Diceros bicornis minor: one gene and its partners. The protein of the gene in region 4 interacts with the protein of the main gene of each other region in a pairwise test. Links are inferred from orthologs where the notes say so. Each region holds a gene or a part of one and is shown on either strand. Other genes may lie near its edges.

Evidence for each region.
Region 1: the proteins of RINT1 (region 4) and RBM41 interact in binary tests that used the Homo sapiens proteins (3 or more experiments, as listed by UniProt). The two-hybrid records come from large-scale screens. The link is inferred for Diceros bicornis minor from reciprocal best matches to the Homo sapiens genes RINT1 and RBM41.
Region 2: the proteins of RINT1 (region 4) and CWF19L2 interact in binary tests that used the Homo sapiens proteins (3 or more experiments, as listed by UniProt). The two-hybrid records come from large-scale screens. The link is inferred for Diceros bicornis minor from reciprocal best matches to the Homo sapiens genes RINT1 and CWF19L2.
Region 3: the proteins of RINT1 (region 4) and coiled-coil domain-containing protein 121-like interact in binary tests that used the Homo sapiens proteins (3 or more experiments, as listed by UniProt). The two-hybrid records come from large-scale screens. The link is inferred for Diceros bicornis minor from reciprocal best matches to the Homo sapiens genes RINT1 and CCDC121.

The regions. Positions count from the first base shown.
Region 1 is NC_080781.1:99,876,029-99,883,384, forward strand, and holds the start of RBM41 (RNA-binding protein 41), read right to left. Parts: upstream 3,006-7,356; 5' UTR 2,882-3,005; coding exon 2,874-2,881; intron 1,295-2,873; coding exon 1,178-1,294; intron 606-1,177; coding exon 413-605; intron 126-412; coding exon 1-125. UniProt on the Homo sapiens protein: May bind RNA.
Region 2 is NC_080746.1:28,177,027-28,184,405, reverse strand, and holds the start of CWF19L2 (CWF19-like protein 2), read right to left. Parts: upstream 3,002-7,379; 5' UTR 2,972-3,001; coding exon 2,879-2,971; intron 1,295-2,878; coding exon 1,184-1,294; intron 468-1,183; coding exon 345-467; intron 1-344.
Region 3 is NC_080751.1:55,294,735-55,301,286, forward strand, and holds coiled-coil domain-containing protein 121-like, read left to right. Parts: upstream 1-3,947; coding exon 3,948-5,051; 3' UTR 5,052-6,052; downstream 6,053-6,552. Other genes in the region: GPN1 (GPN-loop GTPase 1), read right to left, coding at 439-478, 2,110-2,203, 2,911-3,021.
Region 4 is NC_080742.1:12,722,138-12,729,817, forward strand, and holds the start of RINT1 (RAD50-interacting protein 1), read right to left. Parts: upstream 3,014-7,680; 5' UTR 2,904-3,013; coding exon 2,862-2,903; intron 2,415-2,861; coding exon 2,369-2,414; intron 1-2,368. UniProt on the Homo sapiens protein: Involved in regulation of membrane traffic between the Golgi and the endoplasmic reticulum (ER); the function is proposed to depend on its association in the NRZ complex which is believed to play a role in SNARE assembly at the ER.

The DNA of each region.
Region 1 (7,356 bases), on a different chromosome or scaffold from region 4:
GTCAGCTGTTTACTCTTTGCAAATCTCTGTGGCAGGCAAAGGATGCGCTGACGCTCCGAGATCCTTTCTTCAATATCTTGAAGACGGTTCTGTATTGCTTCAGGAGTTGCCCTCAGTCTTGCCCTCTGAAACCAGAGAAATGAGACAGCATATATCATAGAGGACACACCCTGAAAGTGAAGATCTGATGCCTCAAATAAGAAAGAAGATGATCAGAGCCCAGAAATGATCGTTTACAGACATGTTAGCTAAGAAGTCAAGGAACAGCTTCTCTTTTACCAAGGTCCCTATCCTAGAAACCATAGATTCAGACACAAAGCTCAGTTTTGTGAGAACTAAAAATGAAAAGGTTCTCAGTGCCAAATGAAGAGCTCTCGTTCTTTATTCTCCAGAAAAAAATTGCCCCACTCACCTTTTCACCTGAAACATGGCTCTTCCAGATCAAGATTTCTGTTTCATTGAGCCCTAGTTCCCTGAGAGAAGCAGTCTCCTGGTCCTTCTCATGCAGTGTCTGAAACTGGGACAAAGTCATTGTCCCAGCTGCTTCCTTCCCAAAGGGCTTGTACATAGTACCAGGAGCAAAGCTCTCTTTCTTAGACACGCATCTGCAAAACAAGCAAGGAGAGACTAAGAAAATCTTCAAGCTACCATAATTTACAGAAATGGGGCTCACTACGAAAAGAGGCACAATGAAACTCATTGGCAATTTCTCTCTCATGTCCCACTTCTAGACTGAAGCAGCACTGCAACGATATGGAACCTGTCAATAATCCCTTCTTCCAGGACTAATAAATGACTGAATCAAATATTTATTTATTTATTGAGTACCTACTATACATCAGATACTGTGCTAGGTACTGAGGATTTAACAGTAAAAAAGATGAAAATGGTTTCTGTTTTTGTGGAAGAGAGGCAAGTAAAGAGGCAATGATAATATTGGGTTAGAAGTGCTATGTATGTTAAGGGGAGACATAGGAAAGGCACTTAGCCCAGACTTAGTGGGATATGGGAGGCATCCTAGAGTAAGAGACACAGAAGCAAAATCCTGCCTAATAAGTATAAGTTTGCCAAGAAAAGGGGGGTTGGAGAGGAGTGTTCCATCCAGGCTTTAAGAGGGGTCTGTCACCTGAAGGTGAGGGGCTATGATACTCTACTTGTCTGCAAAATCAATACCTACTCCTCAATGGAGACAGAGGTATCAAGTTGATGCTGAAGGAGGCTTTTCAGCTGCCTCTCCCCTTCTGTTTCCAACTCCTCCAGGACATGCTCATCACTCTTCACACAGCTATTTACCCTGGAGTAGAGATAAGAATATATACAGAAAGTAGAAGAGACAGTAAATCTCAAAATATATTCTTTATCTATATTATCTACCATTAGTGACCTCATTTGTTCAAAGATATTTCCCTAACTATGTGTTGCCCTTTATCATTCATTCCACAAACATTTACTAAATACCTACTTACACACAATGCACACCTTCCTTATAAAATAGCCCTTTACTATTGGGGTTAAGATGAGGCCTAGAAGATGTATCTCCCATAATTATAAGCAAGATTCCCATGCTCTAGAAAGACTTAGGCTTATTTTGGGAAACTTTAAAATATCCTTAGGCCCAGGGTTTTAAAAAATTCCTTTTAAGTATCTTAATTTTTATTTATTATCTACAATTCTGAAAGTGCTTGCTACGTTTAAAGTGGCTTTGACTCTCAAAAAGAAATGTTAAGTGAAAAAAAGCAAGCACAAAAAAGTCATACAACATGTGTCCATTTATAAAGAGTTGAAAAATGGATAAAAATAGGAACACTTTGTTTAAGGATAAATTCATATGTAGGAAAACTATTTAAAAAAAAAAAGCAAGGGAATGATTAGTGCAAAATTCTGGATAGTGGTCCCCTCAGGGGGAAGGGAGGGAGAAGCAATATGGAAGGGGCACACAGGGGACTTCTATTATTATTCTTTAAACTGTATATATACATTATTTTCATGTATGAGATATATCATAATAAACATTTTTAAGTCATTTTGAGGCAGGAAAAATCAGAAACGGTTTTTTTAAAAGATGCAGAAACTGACAGTGCAGGAGAGCATAGTATCAGTAAGAATTTTAAATGCTCCGCCCTATTCCACAGTGATTATTCTACTTGCAGAGTGAATACAAAACTAATTTAATGAGGTTCCTTTAAAAAGGCTTTGCGTTACTGTCAGTAATTGTAAAGGTCAGGCTTTCAACAATGACCAGCCAAGTTAAAGCTATTTCCTGCAGAACCAGTAGGGGGAACTGCTCGGAGCAGTGTGTTTCTGTTCCTGTAATACATCGAACCGGCTTTGTACTTTCCTGCTAAATTTGTAGAAACAAAGTACCACTTGCTTACGTTAAGACCTGAAAGCGCTACATGCTCTCCGGGCTCGAGCAAGTCTTCTTTAGTACACAAACACTGCAAATAGATGCGCCCACCCTGAGCCCCTTTCTGAGGGTGAGGTCGAGGTAGGGCGGGACAAGGCGGAGCTGGTCTGGGTTTCTCCGGCGCTGGGCATCAGTTAGCCAAGACCCTTTTACCTGGGTGGGTCCGTCTGAAACGGGAAGAAGCCACAGCATCCGTCCAGCTCCTGGGGCCGGCGCCGTGGCCTAGATACCTGTGCCGGGAGGGCATTCCTACGGGAACCGGCAGCGGCGGCGGCCCTTCCGGAACTTCACCCTGCAGGCCTGTCTTGCCTGCCTCTCCTCCTCCCTCCTCCTTTGTCTTCCCGTTCACACGAAACCGCATCCCGAGAACGTGACATACCCCAAACACAAAGTAATAAAAGCCATTTTAAAAGTTAAAAGGTGGAACAGAGCTCCCTTCGCCGCCTTCTCTCAGACAAGCCCTTACCTCTTCATGTTTCCACAGGCCCCTATCTCTAACTTGGGTAAATAGGCCGCGGACTTCAAGTCCCAGAACTCTGCGCGGCAGACTCTAAGGGGATTGTGGTAGAGTGCGAGGCTCTGGGAATTGTAGTAGGGCAGCGCTCAAAAAACGAAAAGAGAAAGTACATATTGAGTAACCGGTATGTTGTAAATTGTTCAAGTATTTTCTCTTGAATTTCTCGTAGAGGTTACAGGCAAAATATCCAGCTCGTAAACTTAGATGACTTCTTTACTCTCTCATTCAATATCACCAAATCCTGGCTCTTCTAATTTCTCTGGAATATGTCCCTATCAACCTTGCTTCTGCTTTCAAGGACTTATTATCCGGCCTATGTGATGTTTCCAATCGAGCCTCTGGGCCGTCCTCCGCAGTGTAGGCAGAGTGATCAGACAAGTTTGACCACATCACTTGCACTGATGGTTCTCCTCTATCTGTAACAGAGGCTTATAAGACATTGTACTTCCTATCCTGAGAATCAGAAATCCATATGTATTCAGGTCCTGACTATAAAATAACTGACCTGCACTCCTGAAAACTCATCAAAAACATGGAAAGTCTGAGAATCTGTCACAGTCAAAGGAACTAAAGGAGACAATGACTAATGTCATGCAGTATCCTGGATGGGATCCTGGAACAGAGAAAAGGCCCTAGGTAAAAACTAAGGAAATATGAATAAATTATGCACTTTCATTAATAATAAGGTTCATTAGTTATGGCAAATATACCAGAGCTATGTAAGATGTTAACGCTAAAGGAAACTGAGTGAAGATATATAGAAGTTTGTTCCATGCAACTTTTCTGGAAATCTAAAACTGTTCTAAAAAATAAAGTTTATTTTTTAAAAGTACACTAAAATAACATTTTTCACCTACCAGATTGGTAAAGATCCAAAAGTTTGAGAACATGCTTGTTTTGTTGAGATTGTGGCAAAATAGGCACTTTCAATACATTGCTGGTAGGAACAAAAATTGGTAGAGCCTCTACCGAAGGGAACTTGAGGATACAATTGAGATAAATGCATATTCCCTTTAGAGCAGCAATTCATTGTCTATGAATAGTATCCTCAAGTATGTATGTGTACATATATATGTGTATGTGTACATATATATATACACATATATATATACACATCATATATAAAACTATTCACTGCAACATTGTTTATAAAAAAATATTGGAAACAAATGCCCATGAATATGATATAGCCACTCAGTGGAAAACTATGCAGCAGTCCCAACGATGACAAAGTTCTCTATGGACTGCTAGTGAACAATCTCTAAAATATATTTAGTGCAATAGCAAGGTGCAGAACAATGTATATAGCATGCTTCCATTTGAGTATAAAACAAGGAATATATGTATGTGTGTGCTTGTATATGCATAAAATACCTCTGGGAAAACATACAAACAAGTAGTAAGTGAATGCCTCCAGGTAGGGGAACCGAATAGTGAGGGACGAGGGTGGGAAAAACTCTTCACTGTATATCTTTTTGTACCCTTTGAATTTTGAACCACATAATTATATTACCCAGTCAATAATATTTTTTATTAAAGAGAACCCTTCTTATATCACAAATAGCCAAAGAAGAAAAAGAGCATGGGTTTGGGGGTCAGACTGCTTGGATTTCTCTGTGCCCAGAGTTATTGACAATTTAACATAGTAGGCAATCTGGACTTGAACTTAACGCTTTTCAAGTTACGAGACTATGTGAGTTTCAATGAGTTTCTTTAACTGGTCTAGGCCAGTTTTCTCATGTGTAAAATGGGGATAATACCTTAGAATAGGGTGATTGTAAAGTACTATACAAAAGTATGGTTTCAAAGTCACTTGCTAGGTTGGTCATCTATGAGCAAATATTCCAAGGTTATCCAGTATGTTCAGATTTATTCAAACCGTCTGTATTGCCATGCTCAAGTTAGAGGATAAGACCAAAGAGCAGCTACTTGAAGACATTGTACTTCTTATCCTGAGAACTTGTAACAGATTGGAAATGTCACCGAAAGTATTAGAGTTATTCAAAACCAGTCATATACAAATGACTGCTGTTGAAGCACACAGGTGAATGAATACAGATATAACCTGCACCAATTTGTGGCTTTGGCACGGAACATGGACAGAATGTAAGCATAAACAAAGCGTGGGTCATATCATAGCCTGCGCCAGGTAAATCCTATATGGTGGTGGGGCTGAATTCTGCTGCTCAACCAAACTGTCCAATTGACACATTGATCTATAAGGGAATGGAAAAATACACCAAGGTTGCTAGTGTGTTTGTCCCGTGGGAAGGCAGCAAAGGGTGGAACAAATACTACACTGACCACCACACCAGACTTGTATACAACTTCTAATATAACATGCACCCTATTGATACTGAAGTGATACACACTACATTACAAATCCACTAGGTGGGATGAGTGAAGAATGAATAGCTAAAAAGACATACATAGGGTGGAATTGCAAATAGAAAGCAAGGTCATAAGGAAGTACTCTATGTGTATAACTGTAGCCAGTCCGAGTGGTAGGTACCAAGGGACAAACATTCAGAAAATTGCACTAGAAGGAAAACCAGCCTATTTCTAGCTCTGCCAAACTTATTAACTGTGGAATAATAGCTATTGCATTTCCCACAGCATCCCTCTCCCTGCTTTGAAAGGATATCAGACAGTGAATAAAAAGCTTTGAGATTTCTAGATGTTATTCCTGGGCACAGAGATCTTACCATGAGGTAATTTCACAATTTCAACCCTAAAAGAATTTATGACAAACTGAAAAATATGTCTCATTTGTCTAACAATTTAACAAGTTTAGTTTAATTAAGCCAGAAGTTCCTCCTTAACATAGACGTATTTTCAGAGTTTGTCCTTTTTAGGTGCTTTGTTCACAGCACACTTCTGATGACTACATTATGAAGCAATTATAATTTCCAGATATGAAGAAGATGCTAAAAACAAAAATCTTCTCTTGAAGAGGGATAGCATCACTCATCAAATATTAAGAGAAAACAACTGTGCATGTCTTTCAAATTCCCCAAATGAGATGGTATAAATGCTGTTATAGAGAGAATAAATATAGCATCTTTTTCAAAGGACAAAAAAACTAGATAAGCACCAGCAAAGTGTCAACACGATAAATTTAAGAATTCTCCTTCAGCTAATATCTTAGCTGGTCTTTAACAATGGTTAGGAGGGGCTCAAGACTCTGGTACCTAACATAAAATTTGCCTTAAAATTACTGGGAAAAACAGGTTATTTCTGATCTTTTAATTAATATTTGTTCAACGATGTCATGTCTTTTAGACACATGTTAGAACTAAAGTCAGAAGGAACCTGAGAGATGATTTAGTCCAAGGCTCCAGATTCCAGACAGTACATTGAGATCTACTAGTAAATCTTACAGTGTTACTGTATTGATCTGGAAGCCACTTGCCATCCAGTGGCCTCTTCTATATCCTGGAAAAAACACTAGAACTCCCAGTGAAAAGTCAATAGGAGTATAGTATCCTCCTCTTTCTTTATTTTACTGAGGAACTTTACAGTAAGCATTTACTGGTAGTGAAAGGAAATCGCAAAACTTCAGAGAAATGAAAACTAGTTTCTTTCAGTTGGGAAAAACTTAATATGGTCTCATTCATATTATAGACAAAAGATAATGCCCAAAATGGAATTATTTCTCCAGTTAATTAGGCAGGGACAAGACTAAATCCAGTGTTTCCTCCAATACAATACATTCTCTTTACAGAACATGGAAATTAACTTATGCACAGGCTACTTTACAAGAGTTGAATCTTCAAAAACAATAGGGAAAATGTCTTTATCTAAGGTATAATACTAATAACACTAGACTCAAAAATTAGAGATTATTCAAGATTATACTCAAAAGCTGTTTTCCTACAGAAATCATCCACAAAATTAAATGGTGTCTGGATTATTTTCATATTCTATAATTTTGAGTGGTAAGAAAAACTCACCTGATAAGAAGCTGCTACTTTGAGAAGTTGGGATAGGAAAAAAAAAAGAGGCAATGTAAGTTCTGATATTTAGTTTACTCATAAGGTGATGAAAATCACTAATACTCATTTCAAAAATATTTTCTTCCCGTAACATATACCCCCTCAGGATGGTCACGTGCAGTCAGTACAACAAAAATTCAGCTGAGTAATTACAGGAAATTAAACTCTAGTCACTCAAAAACTTTTAAGTAGTTTATTTTGGTATTATACTTTTATTTTTTAGAACATTACCTTTATTTATGACTTAGGTGAAACATGAAACACAAGAGATCAGACTATTCCCAAGCTAAGAACAAAGCTTTTTCTTAAAAAAAAACAAACAATTACACAAAAACCAACAACTAGAAATCATATGCTAAAACCAAGTAAAACACGAGGATACCTGTACATCAAAAATAAACAAACTGCCTGAACCTTGCCCTTTTAAAAACAACCTA
Region 2 (7,379 bases), on a different chromosome or scaffold from region 4:
TAATTTTCCAGCTACTTCTACTCAGTGTCCTTTACTTCCTGTCTAGCTCCTTGGTGTTGAGTGTTCTTCTTTCCTTTCAGTTTCCCTAGGCAATTCATCCATTCTACTGGCTTCAACGAGCAGTGATTCCCAAATCATACCTCCATCCTCTCACCTTTCTCTGTAACCTAAGATCCTTATTTCCAATATTTCTTGAACATCTCCAAGTAGATGTCTCCCAGGTATTTTCACACCCTAACTGGTAATATTTTTTAAGTTCTCATATATTTTAAGTTCCCATACATTGTTCCTTTAAATACAGTTTTCTCAAGTAGCTGCTTTGGTCAGTTTTAGTACATACTTACTGATGAACTATCAGTTGACTCATTGTTTTTTTCATACTTTTGCTTCTTGCTCTTTTTTTTCTTCTCTTTCTTTACTTTTTTTGAATGCTTATCTTTTTTCTTCTTTTTCTTCACAGAGTGTTCCTATAATCATTTTGAAGAGTAAGAAAGGAATTTAGTTTTAGCTTACTTTAAAAGGAAATATTTTAAGGGAAAAAAAGATCTATGTTCCAAAAAACTTTATATCTTTCATGAAATGAGACAAGGAATATAACTAAATAAAATCTTCTAAGAAACTTGAACATGCTTCTGTAACATATGCACTACTAATAAGTCATATAGCTGAGATTTCTTATCAAAAAAAATGAGAGAAGTTTTAGTTTTATTTGTAGATACATCTGACAGACAGATATAATCAAATAAACACATATACACACAAACATAAACATACATACGTACATATCTTTCTAGGGCTCCAAAAGTATTTACAGATTACTAACCATATAAAATATAACAAGATAGCATAAATTACAGGAAGAGAAAACAAGGATTCAGACAAAAAAAAAAGACATTAAGTTTAAAATGCATAATTTTTTAGACACATAAGCTTGCTACAAGTGGGCCAGAAATTTGAAGCTAAGCTTTCTACCTGCCAATTCAAGTAACAAAATCTTTCCAACGTCATAATGCCCACAATATTAAAATTATTTATGCCAGAAAAACTATTCAATAATGCCCATATGGGATATTCATTCTGAAACTTGTGAAAATAGTCGATAAAGTTGCTCCTCCAATACTAACTTGAATAAGTACAAAAAAAGACAAACATGCTTACATCAGGTAAACATGTTAGTATTCACCTGTGAGAACTGTTCAATTCGCTCATTCACATCAGGTAGCATCCATGTATCCTCACCCCGAAGTCGCTTAAGTTCTTTACGCCTTTCTTCTTTTTCAAAATTGGCTTTAGCCTAAAACAATGAAAAAAGAAAAATTAACAACTGATCCAATCTCTTTTCACAAAAAGTAAAACAAAAACTTTCACTTTCATATAAGGCTCATGAATGAATTGTCTGTCCCTCGCCAGGAATGTGCTTCTACCAAAGTATAAAGGTTTAAAAAACAAAAATCTCTCGTTCCACATGACCAATCATATTATCAATCTCTAGTGAATTCAGCCGCCAATCAAGGACAGAATCTGGGACCTATTCCAGACCCTCTTCTCTCTCTAAGCCCCCTACCTTAAATACAACTTGAATCTCTTTTATCTTCACCATCCCACTGCTACTGCCTGAGACTTTTGTAAATGTTAGGAGACTGACCTGCACATTTTTAATCCTCAATGCCCATACCCCTCTACTCACACTCCCAAAATGCTTCAGAAGGAATCATCTTTCTCAAAACAAATGATTATATTCCTAACTTTTATTCAACCTTCAACAACTGTCAAATAAAGTAAGTTCTTCCTAGGAGGTTGTTCCTGCCCTTTCATTCTCTCCCCAAACTCCAAAGCTGGGTTTGGTCCTTCTCAAACTCTATGCATAGCTCTACTATAAAATTTATCACAGCTTACAAACCCCACTCCAAAAAAACACCTGAAATATCAAAGAGACAAGGATGAAGAATATTTATTATATATTAAATATGGTACAATCAGGGATCAATACCAACCTTTCACCTATCCAAGACCGACAGCCCACTCTTCCCCTTTAAAATCTGGCTGTAGTCATTATGCCTTCTCCTTCCTGTTTCCTCTACCAGCTCCTTTTCATTTGCATTTAAACTCGTTTTAAACTCTTCCATCTTAAGCAAAAATAAAAACCCTCACTTGTTATACCATATGTTTCTCTCCAACTACAACTTTTCTCCTTCGTTGCCATACTTCTTACATCTTGTCAAATAATTCAGTACAGTTTACTTCCTCCTTTCTTTATAAGTTACCTATACGTATCTCAATCTCAATGAGAAATACGATGTTTCCCAACATTTTTCAGGGGACTAAATTTTCTGGTTCTCTTGCATCAATCCTTGATTTGACCAGTAAGGGTTTACAATAAGCCTGAAATTGATACCAATAGTAAACAGAAGAATAAAACGGTCAAACACAGTCTACTCCAATGCTCCTTACATGAGTTCCTGAACACGGAAAATTTCATTTCAAATACTGCAAAAACGAGGACTGAGGCTATGAAATATGCTAGGAGAGTCGGTATTAGCGGCGGCGTCCCTGGAAAGTGCGCAGCCCAAATGATAAGGTGCCAGAAATGTCAAGAATGGATGATTTAAAAGGCAAAGAAACTCAGAAGAAAGAAACAAGCCTTCCTGAAAAAGAGTGTAAGCAACCGGAGCTTGCCAGAGCACCTAGGAGGTGGGAGGTACCCAAGAGCTTACGGGCATCCCAAAGGGAGACCCCACCCACGCACCCAAATAAAGGTGAGATACTGAGGGGGTGAGAGAAGAGAGGGGGCGGGAAGGGAGGAGAGGCAGAGGCCTAGCTCCCAGGAACCCCCCTCTCACAATTCTAAATGGTTCCAAAAGCCCCAAAACGGAGGTACCTGGCGCAACACCTCGGCCCTAGCAATCCGGGTGTGTTCCTTACGCTCTTCGATGCCCTTCGCACTTTCAAATCTACCGGACGCAGCCGCCATAGTCGCTGTCGTCGTAAAGCGAGGAAGCCGTCACGAAATCTGTTTACGACTGTCGTAATTTAATAAACAAACGGAGACTTCCGATTGTGGTTGGAGGGGCGCTGCTCCATTAACAGAGCATGCGCGGATCTGAGTGTTGCTTAATGTTCTGGTGATCCCTTCAGCTCCAGGTTTTAAAGGATAATTGAAAACCAAACTCGGGAGTTGCCCAGCTTCGTATATTGAGATCGCACCGAGCAAGATTAATGTCACAGTACATTTATTACGCACTTTGGGCAATACTAACGGCATTCTCACCTATTTCCTCTTAAAATCACCAGAGTAAATTAGAAGTTCATAAAGGTTAAATCCGTACCTCTCAAAGATTTCTACCGAAGTGCCCTTCTCGCCAAAGTTTCCCTGTGCTGGGGAAATGGGCTGAAGGGAGGCTGGCCAGAAAGGCTGTGCAAGCTAGCAGGAGGGCAAAATTGCTTCGAAGAGTCGGTGTTTTGCTTTGGTGAACTACTTCTTAAGTATATGAGAAAGTCTTGTGAATTTTGCATTATACTTCATAATTTATCCGTGCTTATTTAAACTGTTGTTTCACATTATTTTTTCTCCGACCTCATATTATATGTTCGTACTTATCCATCCAAGCATTATTCATTACAGTGTGCAATTACCGATTTATTTGTGTGATTTTTTTTTTTGTTTTATGATACAAACGTAAAATCTCTCTCCCAAACATAAAACTTTAAGTTGCATGTTGAGTAAGACATTCTGAAGCACTGATCAAGTGCTTTGCGAGTATAAAACACTGAGCTTACATTTATAATCATAAAGATAAAGAAGACTGGACAATAATTATAAACTAGATACTTTAATGACATTAAAAAGAGTTAACATAAACTAGACAGGTAAATACGCTTTCTTTTCAGGTTTCATAAAACTGAATTTGTGTTTGCAAGAAGCTCTCCCAGGAGTTTCTACTTTACCTAATCTATGAAAATCTTAACTCTGAGCATGCAGTGTTTACACGTTTGATATACAAAATAGAATGTACTCTTATTTTTGTTACAGAAAAGTGAATTTTAATTTACGAATTGGCCTTGAAATATTTAACCCACTAACTGTGCCTTGACTGATTATGTCATAATTAACTCTAATGGCATTAAAGTCTTTCAGATTCTCTTGGGATTCAGAAAAACATCATTCCCCCCCCCCCGCGTCAATTATGGGGCAAATAAAAAGAAATAGTGATTATAGCAGAAACATGCAAAATTATATGACAAAAACTTTCAACCCTACTTACAGCACAAAAGACTAGAACAAATGGAGAGGTATAGCATGTGCTTGAAGAAGGCTCAACATCATAAAGAAATCTATTGTCCATAAATTAATTTGCAAATATAATGCAATACCAGTAAAATTGCCAACAAAAAAATGTTGGGATCAGAGAGGGGAGCTAGATGGGGTGATATAGAAAAATAAGGGAAAAGCAAGTTGTTTTGACTAGTTTGCATTTGACCACACCTAATAGAAATCCAGAGTTTAATCAAACAAGGGGTGATGTAATAAGGAGCCTGAAGGTAGCTGGTCCAGGCTTGGTGCAGTTGCTGAAGGAAACAGGTTGTTTCTCCTTTTCTGCGTTGTAACACTTAGACTGTAACTCAAGTCTTCATAGTCGCAAGAGTGCGTTTCGTTCTTCCATATCTGCATATGTCATCGATTAAGACATAGGAATTGTCATAGAGCAAAAAGTGTATGCCAGCTAAGCCTACTCCCTTTTTTTTTTTTTTTGTGAGGAAGATCAGCCCTGAGCTAACATCCATGCCAATCCTCCTCTTTTTGCTGAGGAAGACTGGCCCTGAGCTAACATCTATTGCTAATCCTCCTCCTTTTTTCCCTTTTTCTCCCCAAAGCCCCAGTAGATAGTTGTATGTCATAGTTGCACATCCTTCTAGTTGCTGTATGTGGGACGCCGCCTCAGCATGGAAGGACAAGTGGTGCGTTGGTGCACGCCTGGGATCCGAACCCGGGCCGCCAGTAGTGGAGCTGCACACTTAACTGCTAAGCCACGGGGCCAGCCCCAAGCCTACCCCATTTTTAAGTAGAACAATGATGACTTTGGTAAAGCCTACTCCACTTTCTCCCATTTAAATCTTATGAACCAGAAGTAGATCACATGGCCACAACTAACTACAGAAGAGTCATGAAGATTCCAGGACAGTTAGGATATAGAATGACACTCAGCTTGGGTTTGTCTGAGGTTTCTTTGTGGTTAGATTCAGGTTAGCCATCTTGGGCAGAACTGTCACAGAAATGTGACTGTGTTCTCATTGCATCCTATCAGGTAACACACAATTTCCATTTGTTCATTACTAGTGATATTTACTCTGATCATTTAATTAAAGTGGTATCTGCCAAACTTCTCCACTGTAAGATTACTCCTTTTCCCTTTGTAATTAGCAAGTATTTTGTGAGGCAGTTTTTTGAAACTATGCAAATTTCTCATCAGACTTTCAAATTATTTATTTTTATATCAATATGGACTCGATTTCTATTTTTATTCAGTAGATTCATATTTTTATTCAGTGAGATAATAATACATTGTTATCAGTATTTATTTGATGCACAAATTGTCCCAGTTTTAGCCAGGGAGAGCCCCTTCAAGCTGGTTTCTGTGTCCTTTTCACATGCCTCCATATTCTTTGAGTGTTTCTTTATTTGCTAGTACAAGAAGATAACCTAGTTTCATTTTGTATTTTCTCTGCCCAAGCCTTGGAATCAGCCCATTTTCCAAGAATCCCTGGTTTATTTTTGTTTAAGGTGGTATTTAGAAACTGTCAAATAAAAAACAAATCTAGGGCCAGCCCCAGTGGCCCAGTGGTTAAGTTCGGTGTGCTCCACTTTGGCGGCCCAGGTTTGGTTCCTGGATGCAGACCTCCACCACTGTCTGTCAGTCGCGATGCTGTGGTGGCAGTTCACATACAAAAAGAGGAAGATTGGCAACAGATGTTAGCTCAGGGGGAGTCTTCCTCGGCTTAAACAAACAAACAAAAAAATCCAGACTTTGGTAAGGAAAGAGCACAGGAGCACAGGGCTCAGGTTAAGTTCAAAATTGTCAAAGCCAAGATCTGGACACTAGGTATGCTCATTAACATTGGGGTGTTGTTGCTCCCAGGTCCTTTCGATGGACAGAGCTAGGAGGAAAGATACATAGATACAGACAAAGATCTAGATATAGACACACATAAATGACTATACTTCTATATATGTCTATATATATTGAAACCATGAGTTCATACAGATACCTCCAATTCCAATTCAATACCACAGAGTTCATTCTAGTTTTCTTCATTTCCACATTTGTAACTCCATTCTCCAACATGGATAAACCTAATTCCCATTATCTTTAATATATTAACTTATTTGATCAATTATCCAGTATGTAACCAGTATCTGTTGCCATAACCACCCCCCTCTCTTGCACAGATGCCCTTTTCACCCCTCTGAAACCCTGAAATCCTGTGCCAGGTTACCCCACTCAGGCTCCAACACCCTGAACCAGGCCATCCTCCCACACAGATACACTCCTCACCCTGCTTGGGTCCTGATTCCCATGTTCCAGAGGCCCCTCAATCCACATGAGCACCCTTCTCAACCCATTTGTGCTCTGAGCTACTTCCCCTCCACTCACCGACACAGATGCCTACCTCATTCAGCCCACCAAATGACTTTGGGACTGAATTGTTCTGGAAGAAAATGAAAAGGAAAGGAACTGAAAGAGAAAGATGACTTAAGCCTCTTTTAAACCATAACAATTCTCACTCACCCCTCTTTTATTTTCAGGCCATTTATTTATTGAAGAGATTGGGTTCCTTTTCTATTAGAATATCCCACATTTGGGGTTTAGCTTATTGTATCTTTTTTTTTTTTTTTTTTTTGTGAGGGAGATCAGCCCTGTGCTAACATCTGCCAATCCTCCTCTTTTCTTGCTGAGGAAGACTGGCCCTGGGCTAACATCCGTGCCCATCTTCCTCCAATTTATATGGGACACTGCCACAGCGTGGCTTGCCAAGCGGTGCGCCAGCGTGCGCCGGGGATCTGAACCAGCGAACCCCGGGCCACAGCAGCGGAGCGCGTGCACTTAACCGCTTGCGCCACCGGGCCAGCCCCTGTATCTTCTTTTTTTTAAATTTTATTTTAACTTGTTTCTTTATCCCCTGTTTCTTATAATCTGGTAGTTAGAGTTAGAGATTTGATTAGATTCAGATTCAATATTTTTTACAAAAATACCTCTGTCTCGTTCCTACTGTATCATGTCTTGAAGCACATCATAGTTCTACTTTTCATAAAGTTAAGATTGATAAGTGGATTCAAGTGTTGTCAGCCTGAATTCATCCATTATCAGGGTCCCCATTAATTT
Region 3 (6,552 bases), on a different chromosome or scaffold from region 4:
TACTTACAGGGAAAGTACACATTTCACACAGCAATGCAACACGGGTTCATCCTACTAAACCTACTCACTTCTGAGCTTCCCAGTCTGAAGAGGTGGTGACCAATGGATGTATCCTCCAAGGCAATACTACCTTGTGGGATCAAGATACGCTATCAGCTTGCCTCTCTATCTCTGTGCTCTCTAATTACAACAGCCTGCAGTCCGGGAAGATGGTAAGAAAACTGAAATCATAAGCTGAAATGGTATTTCTAATCACCTACAATACTTCTCCCCCCATCCATCTTCCATCCTGTTAATAAAATTACCTTAAAGCAATCAAATGCTTTTGCTTGTATATTTCACAAGGAAACACAAAAATATTCTTTCAAAGCCATAAAATACACAGACAGTAACTAGCCAAGGATGAGTCAACACTGAAGTAGACGTGGAAAAGGATACTGTTTCATGACTTCTTTATACTTCACAGTGTCACGAATATCTGGGGGGATAAAAATTAACTGGAATTTAACACATGAAAAACAATACAGTTTGAGACCCTACACCTATAATATCCTCAGGGAACAGGCCTCTCAAGTCATCTCTGCTTCCTCTAAGGAAAAAAAATAAGTTTCTCCCTTGGCATCTGAGTCACTTTTAAATCTTTTTCCTAAATTTTGAAGCTAAGATCATTGAACTGTGATAGCAAAAGAAGCAAGATTGTGAGAAGAAAAGAAGGGTAAAAGGTGCCCTATAAGGACTTTCCCTACCAGCAAGAAACTGAAACTAGCCCTTTAGGCTTATCTTGTCAGCATTCTCTTCTACTGATTTCTCCAGCTTCATACTAGTTACCTTTCTTAAAAGGACAATGCCAAGTAACCCAGGAAGAATGTTAGGTTAGCAGCTCTCAAGCTATGGCAGAGATAGTCTGAGACAAGGAGAAAAGCTTTATACAACTTAAATACCTTATCAGTGACCACTCGCATGGAACAAGAGAGCTAAGTCAAGAAAAAGGGTTTATTTCTTACTAATCACATACTGGTGACAAAGGTAACGCAGACATGATTTTTAAAAAACAACTAATCTGTCCAGTAACATCAAACTAAACCTATCTACCAGTCTGTAGACCTACCCCATAAAGTATTAGAATTCCATCCTTTAAGTGAGAAATGGGCAATTTTTTCTCAAACTCTTCCCAAAATGATCTCTGCTTCTTAATACAAGGTCTTCCTTTATTAGTATGTTTAGGGTGCAAGGAGCTTAACAGGATTAAGAAGAGACAAGGAGGGAGATGATCAGCATATAGTGATAGCCTGGAAATCAGGAAGCCCAGATCCTATTAAGAATCATGACACTGGGGCTGGCCCGGTGGCTTAGCGGTTAAGTGCGCGCGCTCCGCTGCTGGTGGCCCGGGTTTGGATCCTGGGCGCGCACCGAGGCACCGCTTCTCTGGCCATGCTGAGGCCGTGTCCCACATACAGCAACTAGAAGGATGTGCAGCTATGACATACAACTATCTACTGGGACTTTAATGGAAAAATAAATAAATAAAATTATTAAAAAAAAAAGAATCATGACACTGGATCACAACCATTCTAATTCTTTTTTATAGTCACAGATTCCTTTTAAAGTCTGATGATAACTGGGAACCTCTCTCCAAAACAATGCATATTTGGATATACACATACATTTTCCCATGTAACTTTGGGAGCAGAAGCAAGGTTCCTACAGATCAATACATGAACTACAAGAACCCTTACACTATAATTAAACTTTGAGAAAAGAAATTAAATAAAAAAGGTTTACATATCAGAGCCTGCTGAAGGGTTTATGGCCTAGAAGTGAGAGGACTGACTTTCTATCACTTCATTTTCCCAAACAACAATAGCCTGACACCCTAGTGTCAAAAAGAGGGAAGAGATAAAGGTGAATGGTAAGGAAACAAATTTAGGAAAGAAGAGAGAGTAAACAAAGAGAAAATGTGAATAAGGGAGAAGCCTGTTTATGGATTCTAGCAAATCCACGGGAAGTGAAAGTAGATAGTTCAGAAAAAAATGAAAGCATTGACGACTGGCAGGCTGGAGGCTTTCCATTCTGTGAGGCACTACACAGAGTTCTATACAGTTTACTCACCAATATTGGCAGGAAAGGGAACTTCATGCACAGCTGGGTCCAGGTTGATCACATAAGGTGGAGAGCCTTGGCTATGCAGGTGTCCTGTGAGCCTCTATAGAGATATGGGGAGAGTGATGGAGTAACACAAAGAGGGCATGATAAGGGAACAAGAGAGAACTTACATTCTTTTATGGCCCACAAAGACTTTTGCACTTACATTTCCCTCTACCTGAAATATTCGCTCCTGATGTCCACCTCCAATACTCAACTCTCAGTTGACATGTTACCTTTATTTATCACCCATCTAACAGAGCCTCCCCGACTCTCGATCACTTATTATTTTGTGGGTTTTTTTTTTTTTTTCCTATCTCTCCCACTAAAACGTTAGCTCTAAGCGGAACCTTGTCAATCTCATTTTCGCTGTATCCCCAGTCCCTGGAACATGGTAGGCGCGCAAGAAATAATTCTTTAGCCAATCTACACCGGAAGCCTATGTGCTAGCACTGTATTAATCGTCAGAGTTACTTGCAAGCCTCTGCCTTTGAGGAGTTGGCAACCTTATCGGTAAGACAATTCCAGTACAACGTGGTAAGCTGTACTAAGTATGCACTGAGGGTACGCGGAAGAGAGCCTTAATTCACCCAGGCTAGAGTCTGAGAAGGCTTCGCCGAGGAAGGAACTGGAGTTGCTGGCAAGTCCCCGAAAGCCACGCGCTGGTAACCTCCAACTCCACAGAAAGACCTCCCTTTCTCCCTGACCTTCCGCCAGCCACAGATAACCTCTCGCGCGCCCATACTACGCCCGCGCCGTGTAGGTCACCTGTACAAAGGTGGTTTTCCCAGATCCCGCCATTCCCAACACCAGGAGACACACTGGGGGCTGAGGACCCCCGCAAGCCTCCGGCTCAGCAGCAGCTACGGGCGCCGCCATCTTTCTCCTGGCTCCGCCCACGTTACCATAGAGACGCCCGTGGCTAGAGAGACTTCCGCGACGCTCGCGGTTGAGAAGGATGGAACCGGACTGTCCCGATAGGGAAGGACGAAGGGGCGGAGTTGACGCCAGAGCCTCTCTTGTTCCGACCCGGCTTGGGGGCCAACTAGTGACAATGGCGGGGAAGTGGAGACGCTGGGAGGAATGCTGCAGGGGGGTAGAAAAAGAGGAGCTCACGGTCGTAGGGTACGGCTTGGGAAGGGCCAAGCTCCCGTCCCTAGGAGAGCGAAACCAGGTGGGATCCCGAGGGCAGGGCTCCCACAGTACGAAAAAGAAGAGCGTGCGTTTCTCTTTGGGCCCCCAAGGAGCGGGGAACGGAGCCTCCAGAGAGGCGGCTGCTAGGGCTTATTCGGCAGCCGCGGAGGTTAAGCCGCTCAGGGCTGGGCCGGCCCAGACTGAGGCGACGTGCGACCCCATGGGTTGCTGGGCAGCGCTGAGACCCATTGAGCATAGAATGGAGAAACTGCTAAAACGTGCCCCCCGGGTCGCCGTTTTCACGTGTCGCAGGCCCCTGACACTAGCGCTAACTCCTTGGCAGTCACGGTCAGTGAACTACACCATGACCTTGGGGATGAACGCTCGGATTCCTGGCCCAAGTAGGTACTGAAGGGACGCTCCCCTCCAAGGCAGCGCCCGCGGAAACCCGCAAGGTGGTGAAACGGAGAAACTTATTCCTACTGGCGACCGCCCAGTCTGTTCCTGTGGCCCTTTGTAGCTTCTGTAGTGTTCAGTAAGTCATAAGATCTGGTGTCACACCCAGGCTCTGCCACTTGCTAGTGGTGTAAATCGTGGCGAAGTCACTTCAATTCTCTGAACCTATTTTCTCCTCTTTAAAATTGAAATAATACTTAACAGGGTTGTAGTGAATGCATATTGTAAATTGTAAACTGCACTCCCTCATCGTTGCCCCTAGTTGTTTACCTTGCCTTGCACACTGTCAGGAATATAATAAAGGCGCTCAAAAATATTTTCTTGTATGCATTAAAGTACAATTGGGCATTTTTTATTGTTTCCTAAAATTCCGTTCAGAACTGATGGGGGAACGTTGCTCTTGTTCTTCCTTCAGGTTTGCTGAGGACTCGAGTAGTTCCCCTCCACCGTATCTTAATTTAATAAATAATTTGGTCAAGTCAGAGAAGCTAACAGACGCAGAAATGAGGTTTAAAGAAAAGATAGTGGTAGAAACTATGAAGCTGAACAAGCAAATAAAACAAGCTCAAATGGAACAAGAATGGCTGAAGGAGGAAACGAGGCAGCTACACGCTGAAAAGTTACTTGTCCAGGCTGAAAACAAATTCTTTCTGGAATACCTGACCAACAAAACTGAGGAGTATAGAAGGCAACCTGAGAAACTGTGGAACAACTATTTACAAGAAAGTGGCGAGACTGAACGAAGGAGGCAAGAATCAGCCTCCAAATATGCAAAACAAACTTCAGTGCTTAAAACAGAGCTCTTGGAGAAGGAAAAGATCCATTCCAATTTGAAGCAGCAGTTGCAAGCATTGAGGGACATTTCAGTATTAAAGGAGAAACAGGAGAGAGAAATGCAGACATTACAAGCAGAGACAGCTGCAAAGAAACAGGAAATCCATGTCCAGTTCCTCCAGCAAAAGGCATTACTGGAGAAACAACTGACTGAGCCAGACATGAGTCAACTGGGAAAGAGAAGAAGAAAGGAGCTTAACAGGAAGACCCAGCCCTTGGAGTTGGCAGCAAAGCAGTATAATTTTGAGTTCTACCGTGACATCAACAGAAAGAACCAGCAGTTAAAGAAGGAACTACTGCAGTTAAATCAGCAATGCCAGGAGTTGCAGGCCACACCAAGCCAGTTAAAAAATCAGAAGCAGCAGCTGCAGCAGGAGCAGTGGTATGTGGAGTGCTTAATGCCGGGGAGGCGACGACTGCAAGGCAGGCACAATGGTGCCCAAAAGGTCAGGGTGCTCCAAAGACCACACCGACCCCTCCCCTAGGCACGAAATCAAGGATTAATCCAAAGTAATTCCTAAAATAACACTGATTAAGTAAGGACCAGAGCAGGTATTCTTAGGTGCCACATAAACCTGGTTAGGAAGACTTTTGGATCTCAGATTGCTATGGCAAAATATCCGTCGTGATGTGTTAGTGTGAAGGATTAGGTGCTTTTTTCCAGCAGTACTAGATATTAGTGTGACTGGCTACCCTTAACTAGGTTTTTCTTTAATTAGCTCTTGTTAATAAACAGGATGTTCCTCAAACCTCCAGATAACCTAATACCATATGCCAAATATCTGTACATTAAACTAGCTCAAGAAAGCCACCTTGAGGAAGTGAAAGGAAAACAGTTGGGTGATTTATTTCATCTAGCTAAGTTAGATCTCTTTATAGAAAAAGCACCATTAAGGGTAGCATTTCAGATTGACTATGTACTGCTTCCTGCTCTGTAAACAACCAATATCAGTTTATCCTCATTCCTTTAGGCCAACTCAGCACACAAAGGCAAAGTGTTTTTAAGTTTTTTTTAAAGTTTGTGCCAGTGACCAGGTAGCTCCTTCTGTAGTTTTCTCATGAGTGAAAAAGTACTCTAATAACAGCAAGTTCAAAAAGCAGTGGGCAGGATGACCTTTTGTCTGAAGCAGCCCCTAAAATTTTACCTCTGAGTAAATTGAGAAACAAAGATAAAGGGAACGTATATTAGGTCAACTCTCACTTTTGAAAATGTTTTCTGTAAAGAAATATTTCCAGTATTAATGAGGTGACTGAATAGCTCTGTTTCAGGAAATTGTATCAAAAGAAAATTTAAAATTATTTTTTAAAGAGTTTTGTGCCATCTATTTCCCTAGCAACATCCTGAATTCTAAGATGACAAGATTATTTAATGTTAAATATAGCAAGTACTTTAGTTTTAGGTCACTTACTACATTTTCTTACTATATGTGCACTTAATAGTACACGAAATGCCTTTTGTAATTAATATATGCCATATGTCTTTTTGTGTGCGTGTGCGTGTGTGTGTGAGGAACATCAGCCTTGAGCTAACATCCAATGCCAATCCTCCTCTTTTTGCTGAGGAAGATTGGCCCTGAGCTAACATCCGTGCCCATCTTCCTCTACTATATATAGGATGCCGCCACAGCATGGCTTGACAAGCAGTGCATCGGTGCACGCCCGGGATCCGAACCCGCAAACCCCGGGCCGTGGAAGCGGAGCACGCGCACATAACCGCTACACCACTGGGCAGGTCCTATTTACATCTATTTAATACAACTAGGAATAGTATTTTAAATTAGTATAGATTTTTAGGGTAGTAATATTTTTTGCACTTATGACATATGGTTAGATCAGTGATTTATTTGAATGCTGAATCCTAATACAGGAATATAACCCCATATTTTAACATTGCTCCTCTATGGGGAAAATATAATCAACTTTATGTTTTCCAGAAATTATTAGTGATGAAAAACTTCAAAATAATTTTCCTGAATTTTCAGTTTT
Region 4 (7,680 bases):
GCTTCTCCGGCCATGCTGAGGCCGCGTCCCACATACAGCAACTAGAAGGATGTGCAACTATGACATACAACTATCTACTGGGGCTTTGGGGAAAAAAAAAAGAGGAGGATTGGCAATAGATGTTAGCTCTGAGCTGGTCTTCCTCAGCAAAAAGAAGAGGATTAGCACAGATGTTAGCTCAGGGCTGATCTTCCTCACAAAAAAATAAATAAATAAATAAAACTGTTTAAAACAACTGTCACTTATGCTAAAATGAAAATATGACTATCTAAATAGAGATATGCCTAAATGCAAAATGTAACTATCAAATATTGTTCAATTCTTTACGTAAAAATTAATAGAATATATACCAGTGTGTTTAATACTGGGTATGTTCCTCTTCCTCAACCCCTAAACAACAAATTTTCCTTTGTTCTAGTCAACTTATAAGAATTAAAAGCTTGTTCATATAAGAACTAGTAGCCCACCAGTAGGTAGAAGCAAAACTAGCATAAGTCTATGCCTCAACTTCCCAACTATAAACTATAACATTTGCCCAGCCTACATTTAAAGGTTGTAAATGGGACTAAAATCCATGTTTCCCTGACTCTCAACCCAATATTCTTATTTTCTTCTCCTTCAAATATGAGCAGAATTGGCTGGTCTGCATCAAACTTCATTGATACAGAAATCCATCTACTATTATGCACCGGAGTCACAATGTCTTTATTTATTTATCTTAAATAAAATGAGTTGTGTGGTGCACCTGCAGATACACAGAAACAGGGCTATGTGCAGAAGGAATGTTTTGTGAATGCTAAGGTTGCTGTAGCTTAGGGAGTAAATTCTATGTTCACTTTTATTTTTAATTATACTCTTTTGATATAACCCTTATCAAATGACATTCTTCAAAATGACACACTGGTGTTTTAGGATGTTTTTATGTCTCTCTTTTTCTCTATTATTTGTAAAGAGCACTCCTAGTTGCAAAGAAGTTGAACAAGCCACTAAAGGAAGGACAAGGACAAAGTCTACAGTCTGCATCTATGATTTTACTAAAATGACAGCTCAGTAGGCATCAACTCTCTGAGCATCTGAACAAGGTAAAGGTGGAAAAGGGAGGGGTTTCACTGAAAGATATGGGGTACTCTCAAATCCTCCAAGGAAAAGGAGCTGAACTGTGGCAGCTACGACTGTCAAGTACTGTGGACTACTCAGAGCTTTCTCTCTGAGGCCGATGGTATCAGTAGACAACGTGAGGGGCAAGCCCAACTCCTAAATCCAATATGGTAATGTAGACACCCTTCTCTTACCACTACTCATTCCCAGACTATTTGTCACGTTCAGCAGATCCCATAACCCTCTGATGGCATAGCTGTTACATGCTTTTCCCCTTCCTCCCCCAATAAATTTCACTTCAAAAGCCCCTGAAGATTCCTTGATTTCCAAAAGCCTGCCATGCCTAGCTTATTAAAGTAAAATGACAAATGTCCACATCTCTGACATACGCTCCTGTCCTAGGCAGGAATTGGAGGTACTGACCTTTCCCCTCTGCCTTGTCCAGTCCAAGACCCAGGATCCAAGCTATCCTCTGTGCTCTTCCCAGATCAACTTTTTTTTTTTTTAATATATATATATATTTTTTTTTTTATTGATGTTTTAATGGTTTCTAACATTGTGAAATTTTGGGTTGTACATTTTTGTTTGTCCATCACCATATACATGACTCCCTTCACCCCTTGTGCCCACCCCCCACCCCCGACCCCCACTGCCCCTGGTAACCACAGTCCAGTTTTCTCTGTCCATGTGTTGGTTTATATTTCACATATGAGTGAGATCATACAGTGTTTGTCTTTCTCTTTCTGGCTTATTTCACTTAACATAATATGCTCCAGGCCCATCCATGTTGTTGCAAATGGGACGATTTTGCCAGATCAACCTTTAATTGCAAATTCACTGAAGGTAAAGTACAACTAAACAACTATCATTTGACTTCTTTGAACCCAATTAAGGAGGCAGTCATCTCTCCTAGATCATTAGCCCCTCCAAATCCTGATGCTTAATAAATTGTTGCTTCATTAAAATAACCGGCAGGCTCCAATTGTTTTGAAGCCAGTCTGACAGGCAGAACTCCAGTAAAACCACACTAGTTCTTGCACAGGGCAGGAGTCAGGAAGTGCTCTTCTCCAAATCATCCCATAGTTTATCATTTTAGAAAGACAAAAATATGTGTATAATGATAATCAGTAAATGCAAGCATATTGTAGAGAAAAAAGATACTTCATCTAAAAGATAACAGGCTAAGACTCTTCTCGGATGCAGACCCTGGAAGGCTGAGTTTTGGCGAGATGGCTGGGTACAAAGCACTAAGGTGTTTGGGGTCGCTTACTTTTCTCCTCGACGTTTTTCCTTTCCTCACCACTTTCAGAGCAGCACTAGAAGCAGAAGAGGCGTGACAAACACATTAAGACTGAAGTGGTAGATGGAACTCATACAGGGCTCCCAGAGGGCATCCACTGGAGGACTGCGAGGTCCCAGGCCCCTTCCCCTGGGGCCTTCGTGAAGGGCCACGGCCGTCTGACGCAGGTTCTAAAACGGGCCACCTCTCTGGGGCCACCACTGCCATCCTGCCCGTCCGCCAGGGCCACCTCCCCACAGAGATCTGTGTCATCTCACCGGGGTCGCCGGAGCCACTGCATAGGGACTACCTCCCCTGGGAGGTCTGTGCCACCTCACCAGGATTGCAAGGGCCACCTCCCCCGGGCCACGGGAACCACGTCCCCAGGTGCCAGGGTCACCTCACCAAGAGAGTCTCCCCTAGGAGATGTGCCACCTCACTGGGCCACCAGTGTCCCCTCCCCGGGCCACCAGCGCCGCCTCACCGGGGTTGCCGACGCCTCGCCGATCTCGCCGGGCGGGAGCATCCCGCCTCTGCGAGAGTCCTCGGCTCCATGCGCAGCCAGCGTGGCTGCGTGGTCCAGCTCCCGCCAGCGACCAGCACCAGCTCCGCCTCGGAGACTGCGGAGCTGAGTGCCACCGCGACTTCCTCTCGCCGTCTCTCTCGTTTCTTCCTCTCCTCCCAGAAAGGCCCTGCCCGCGCCGCCGCTGGCCGTGCGCGGTGGCTCCCCCTGCCGGCCGGGGGACGTCGGCCGCTCCGGAAGAGGGGGGCGATCCTTCTCAACCTCGGTGAAACATACTTCTCCTCGTTGGGGCCCTTAATGATGGAGCTTGAAGGTATCTGTCCTTCCACACCAGAAATTCAATATGAATCATTTCATTTGTATTTTAGATGATATCCCAGACGTTCTGAGAGTGTGAGGGGGCTTGTTGATCAGCTTTAATGTAATTTGGTCGGGCTGTTTACTTGGGGAATTTCCAATGTCGTTATCTTTGGATCATTCTTTTAAGGCTTATCAGATTCAACTAGAGATGACCCTCCAATTGCCTGCGTGGAGGGTCCAGATCTGGTTGTAACCGTTCTGGGAGCTGAATCGAGGAAAAGGACTCGGCATCTAAGAGGCACTTTGCACAGTGCAGAGACCCCAAAACACCTGTTCTTTGCCAGGGAGAAGGAATAGAGTTACCTGGCAGCCAGCAAGGGGTAGGTAGAGCACCCAGGGATTTGACAACTTCAAAAACAAACGCGAAAGGAGATACCATAGAGACTAAATCAAGTAGCGGGGGTGGGGGCAACCCTTAGAAGAAACAGAAACCGTTCAGTGGGGAGAAAACTTGTGTGTGCATTGTGCAAGATGACATGAGTGGAGCCATATTAAAACAGAGCCAGAGCAGCCATTTCAGAGGAATTGCCTTGCATGGCTTGTTTTCTTTTATCTTCAGAACTGGACCAAACCACCAACATTCCAAAGAAGTCTGTAAGGACAAGGATACCTTGTCTGTAAGAACTGGTGGAACTGGACTTTGCTGGTGCCTAAATCGCTAACCAATCAATGAAGTACAAGTTTAGCGTTTTGTCTGATGATTGAACCTCAGGCCAATCTATGAAGTACAAACCCAGCCTTATCTTATCTAGCACCAATGAACTCTTCTTTAATACAACTCACCTTTCCTCCCTTTTTCCCATAAAAACCCTAAGCCCTCTTCTATAATCAGGACACTGTTTGAGTTTCTACCTGAATCTGTGCTCCCAAATTGCAATTCTTTGATCCCAAATAAATGCTTTGCCTCTTAAACTGGTTTCTGTTTTTGTAGATTGACTATATATATATAAAATCAATATCCTGAGATATGAAATACCATTGCAACCATAAAATAATAAGAGGATACTACTGTAATTTATTTATTTATTTGTGAGGAAGATTGACCCTGAGCTAACGTCTGTGCTAATCTTCCTCTATTTTGTATTTGGGACCCTGCCACAGAATGGCTTGACGAGTGGCATGTAGGTCCACACCCAGGATCCAAACCTGTGAACCCTGGACCTCCAAAGTGGAGCACACCAACTTAACTACTATGCCACCAGGCCAGCCCCAGGATACTACTACTGTATTTAAAAAGGAGTGTTCAGAGACAAAATATATGATATCCGAAATGAAAAATTCAATGAAAATGTTCGAAGATAAATGTTGGGAAATATCCTAGGGAAAAAAATCAAAAGGACAAAAAAATGGAAAACAGGAAAAGAACAATAATAAATTAGAGGACCACTCCAGGGAGTCCAAAATCTGAAAAATAAGAATTCCATAAGAAAAAAACAACAGGGGTTAGGGAAGGAGTGAGCATCAACAAAACAATTCAAGGAAATTTCCCTAAACTAAAAGCCCTAAGTTTCCAGACTGAGAGGGCCCACTGAGTCTGCAGCACAATGGATAAAAGTCGACTCACCCCAGGGGCCGGCCCGGTGGCGCAAGCGGTTGAGTGCGCGCGCTCCGCTGCGGCGGCCCGGGGTTCGCTGGTTCGGATCCCGGGCGCGCACCGACGCACTGCTTGGTAAGCCATGCTGTGGCGGCGTCCCATGTAAAGTGGAGGAGGATGGGCACAGATGTTAGCCCAGGGCCGTCTTCCTCAGCAAAAAAAGAGGAGGATTGGCGGATGTTAGCTCAGGGCTGATCTCCTCACAAAAAAAAAAAAAAAAAAAAAAAAAGTCGACTCACCCCAAAGGCTCATCATTGTGAAATTACAGAACACTGGGGACAAAAAGAAACCTGAAGCTTCCAGAGAGAAAAACAGATCACTAACAAAGGATCAAGAATCAGCATATCTTTCAGTTTTTCAGCAGTCACAAAGAAAGCTGAAAGACATGGGAGCAATTCTATACAATTTCAAAAGGAAATTTATTTCAAACTAGAATTCTGTACTTGATTAGTAAACTACCAATGAAGTGTGGGTAAAGAATAAATGTATGTTCAGACATTCAAGATTTCAAAAAATTTCCCTTTCATTTGCTTCTTTCTCAGGAAGCTACTGGAAGTTGTGCTCCATTAAAATGAGGGACTAAACAAAGAAAGTAGAAAACACAGGCTATAGGAAACAGAAGATACAACACGGGAGAAAAATGAAGTATGATACCCTGACAACAACTGTGCACTAGACATCAACTGGTGTAGGTTAGAAGGTTCCAGAAGAGACTCCTTCAGAAAGATGAAACTGATAGAACACCTATCTATCTAAATCTCTGGAGGGAGAGATTTAAATGATCATAAAGAAGTTTGAGCTTGGCTTAGTGATGAATAGTAAGCCAAAATAAGATAATCATTAACTACAGGAAAAACAAAAAGCTGAGCAGAAGAGAAGTAATCATAGTATACTATTTTGCCCAAGATGTGAGCAATGTTTACCTAGTCATAATGAAGTAAACACAAATCTATTTTTTAAAAAAGTACAATATAACTATATCGGGCAGATAAAGGGATGGGAAGTGTGGTGGGGGTGGGGGAACAGATGGGAGAAGGAAGAAGAGCTAAATCCTCATTTTCCATTAGGTGAAGTCAATAGGCAATGCCTAAAAGTGAAAAATGAAGAAATAGCAATACAAACATTTTATATAGAGAAATGAAGGTAAATATCAAAATAACCATTGAAAGAGGTGAAATGACTGCCTTTGAGGAGGGGGAAACAGGTAAGGGGAAGAGTGGAGATACAGTCTCTGCTGTTTCATTGCAAAACTTACAAGGTTTCTACAGAATTGTTTGACTCTAAATCATAGACGTGTATAACTCTGATTAAAATAAAAACTAAAATTAAAGAAGTAAAAAGATTGCTCTAGACTCAAATTTTTGCTTCTGAAGATTTCACTCCCTGGTAAAGGAATTAGACATGAAAATAAATAATTTAAGATTGAGTGTGACACCAAACCTCTTAATCTCAGGTCCCTGTGCCCAGTGCACAGGAAAAGCCAATCACTGAGACACCAGTCCTTGGAGATAGAGACAGGCTTATTGGAATTGGCCAAAACAAGAAGGCAGGAAAGCAAGTTCTCTCAGATCTGCCTTAACAAAAGAAGAAAACAGGGGATCTTTACAGGGCTAAGGGGCTGGCAAGGAGGATTTTCAGGGAAACAAAGAGGAAGTCTGTGTTTCTTTCACTTCAGATAAGACCTTGAGCAACCAGACTTCTTGGTGTCACCGGCAGCTGGGGTCTGGTCATCTGGTGGTCGTGAATTCCTTAAAGGCATTCTTTTACTTCTGCAAAATAAGCTCATAAATTCTCATGACCCTTGAGTCACCCCTTTGGTTAGACAAGAAAACAGCAAGTTAGCAAGCTATAATTACGTGCATGCCATGGAGCAAGCATTTGGACTCCATAAATACATCTAGTGGAGACTAAGGTTATTTATTAACTTCTTTTCATCTGTGGCTGTATTGGGAACGAGGTCGGAACATGTTGGGAACATGTTCTTATGGAATATTTACAGTAACCCTCAGGTACCTGGCTTCAAGTGCAGTAGGTTCAACAATGGAAATGTTTGCAATGACTGAGGGAGCACAGAAAATAGTTACTCTCTGGCGAGAGGAGAGAGGCATCTAAGATGGATGGAATACTAGGCAGTAATATGGACGAAACAAGAGATAAATTGTGTGTGCTGGGCACATAGCAATCCATAGTGCTGGTGTGGAGTTAAAAGCAAGATCCAGAATATTATACATGATATACATGTTAGGATGTATTTTTTTTTGGGGGGGTGATGAGGATTGGCCCTGGGCTAGCATCTGTGCCCATCTTCCTCTCTTTTATATGTGGGACACCTGCCACAGCATGGCTTGACAAGCAGTGTGTCGGTCCACACCTGAGACTCGAACCAGCGAACCCCGGGCTGCCAAAGCAGAGCATGCGAACTTAACCACTACGCCACTGGGCCAGCCTCGTAACATTAAACTGTTAGATGTCTATCAGAAGGAGTTGGAATGGGGAAGAGGCTTTGAACATTTCTGTATTTTTTTGTGTGTGTGAGAGGAAAATTAGCCCTGAGCTAACATCTGTGCCCATATCCCTCTATTTTGTATGTTGGTCGTCACACCACGGCATGGCTTGATGAGTGGTGTAGGTCTGTGCCTGGGATCCGAACCCACGAACCCAGACCGCCAAAGTGGAGCATGGCTGACTTAACCACTATGCCACAGGGACAGCCCTCAAGAAGATACTTTTTAAAGTATACAAAAATTAGAAGTTTAGGATTGAATTTTTACTGCGTGGCTGTGGAAAACGTATTTGCAGTTGGTGTCACTGGGACATTAACCTATG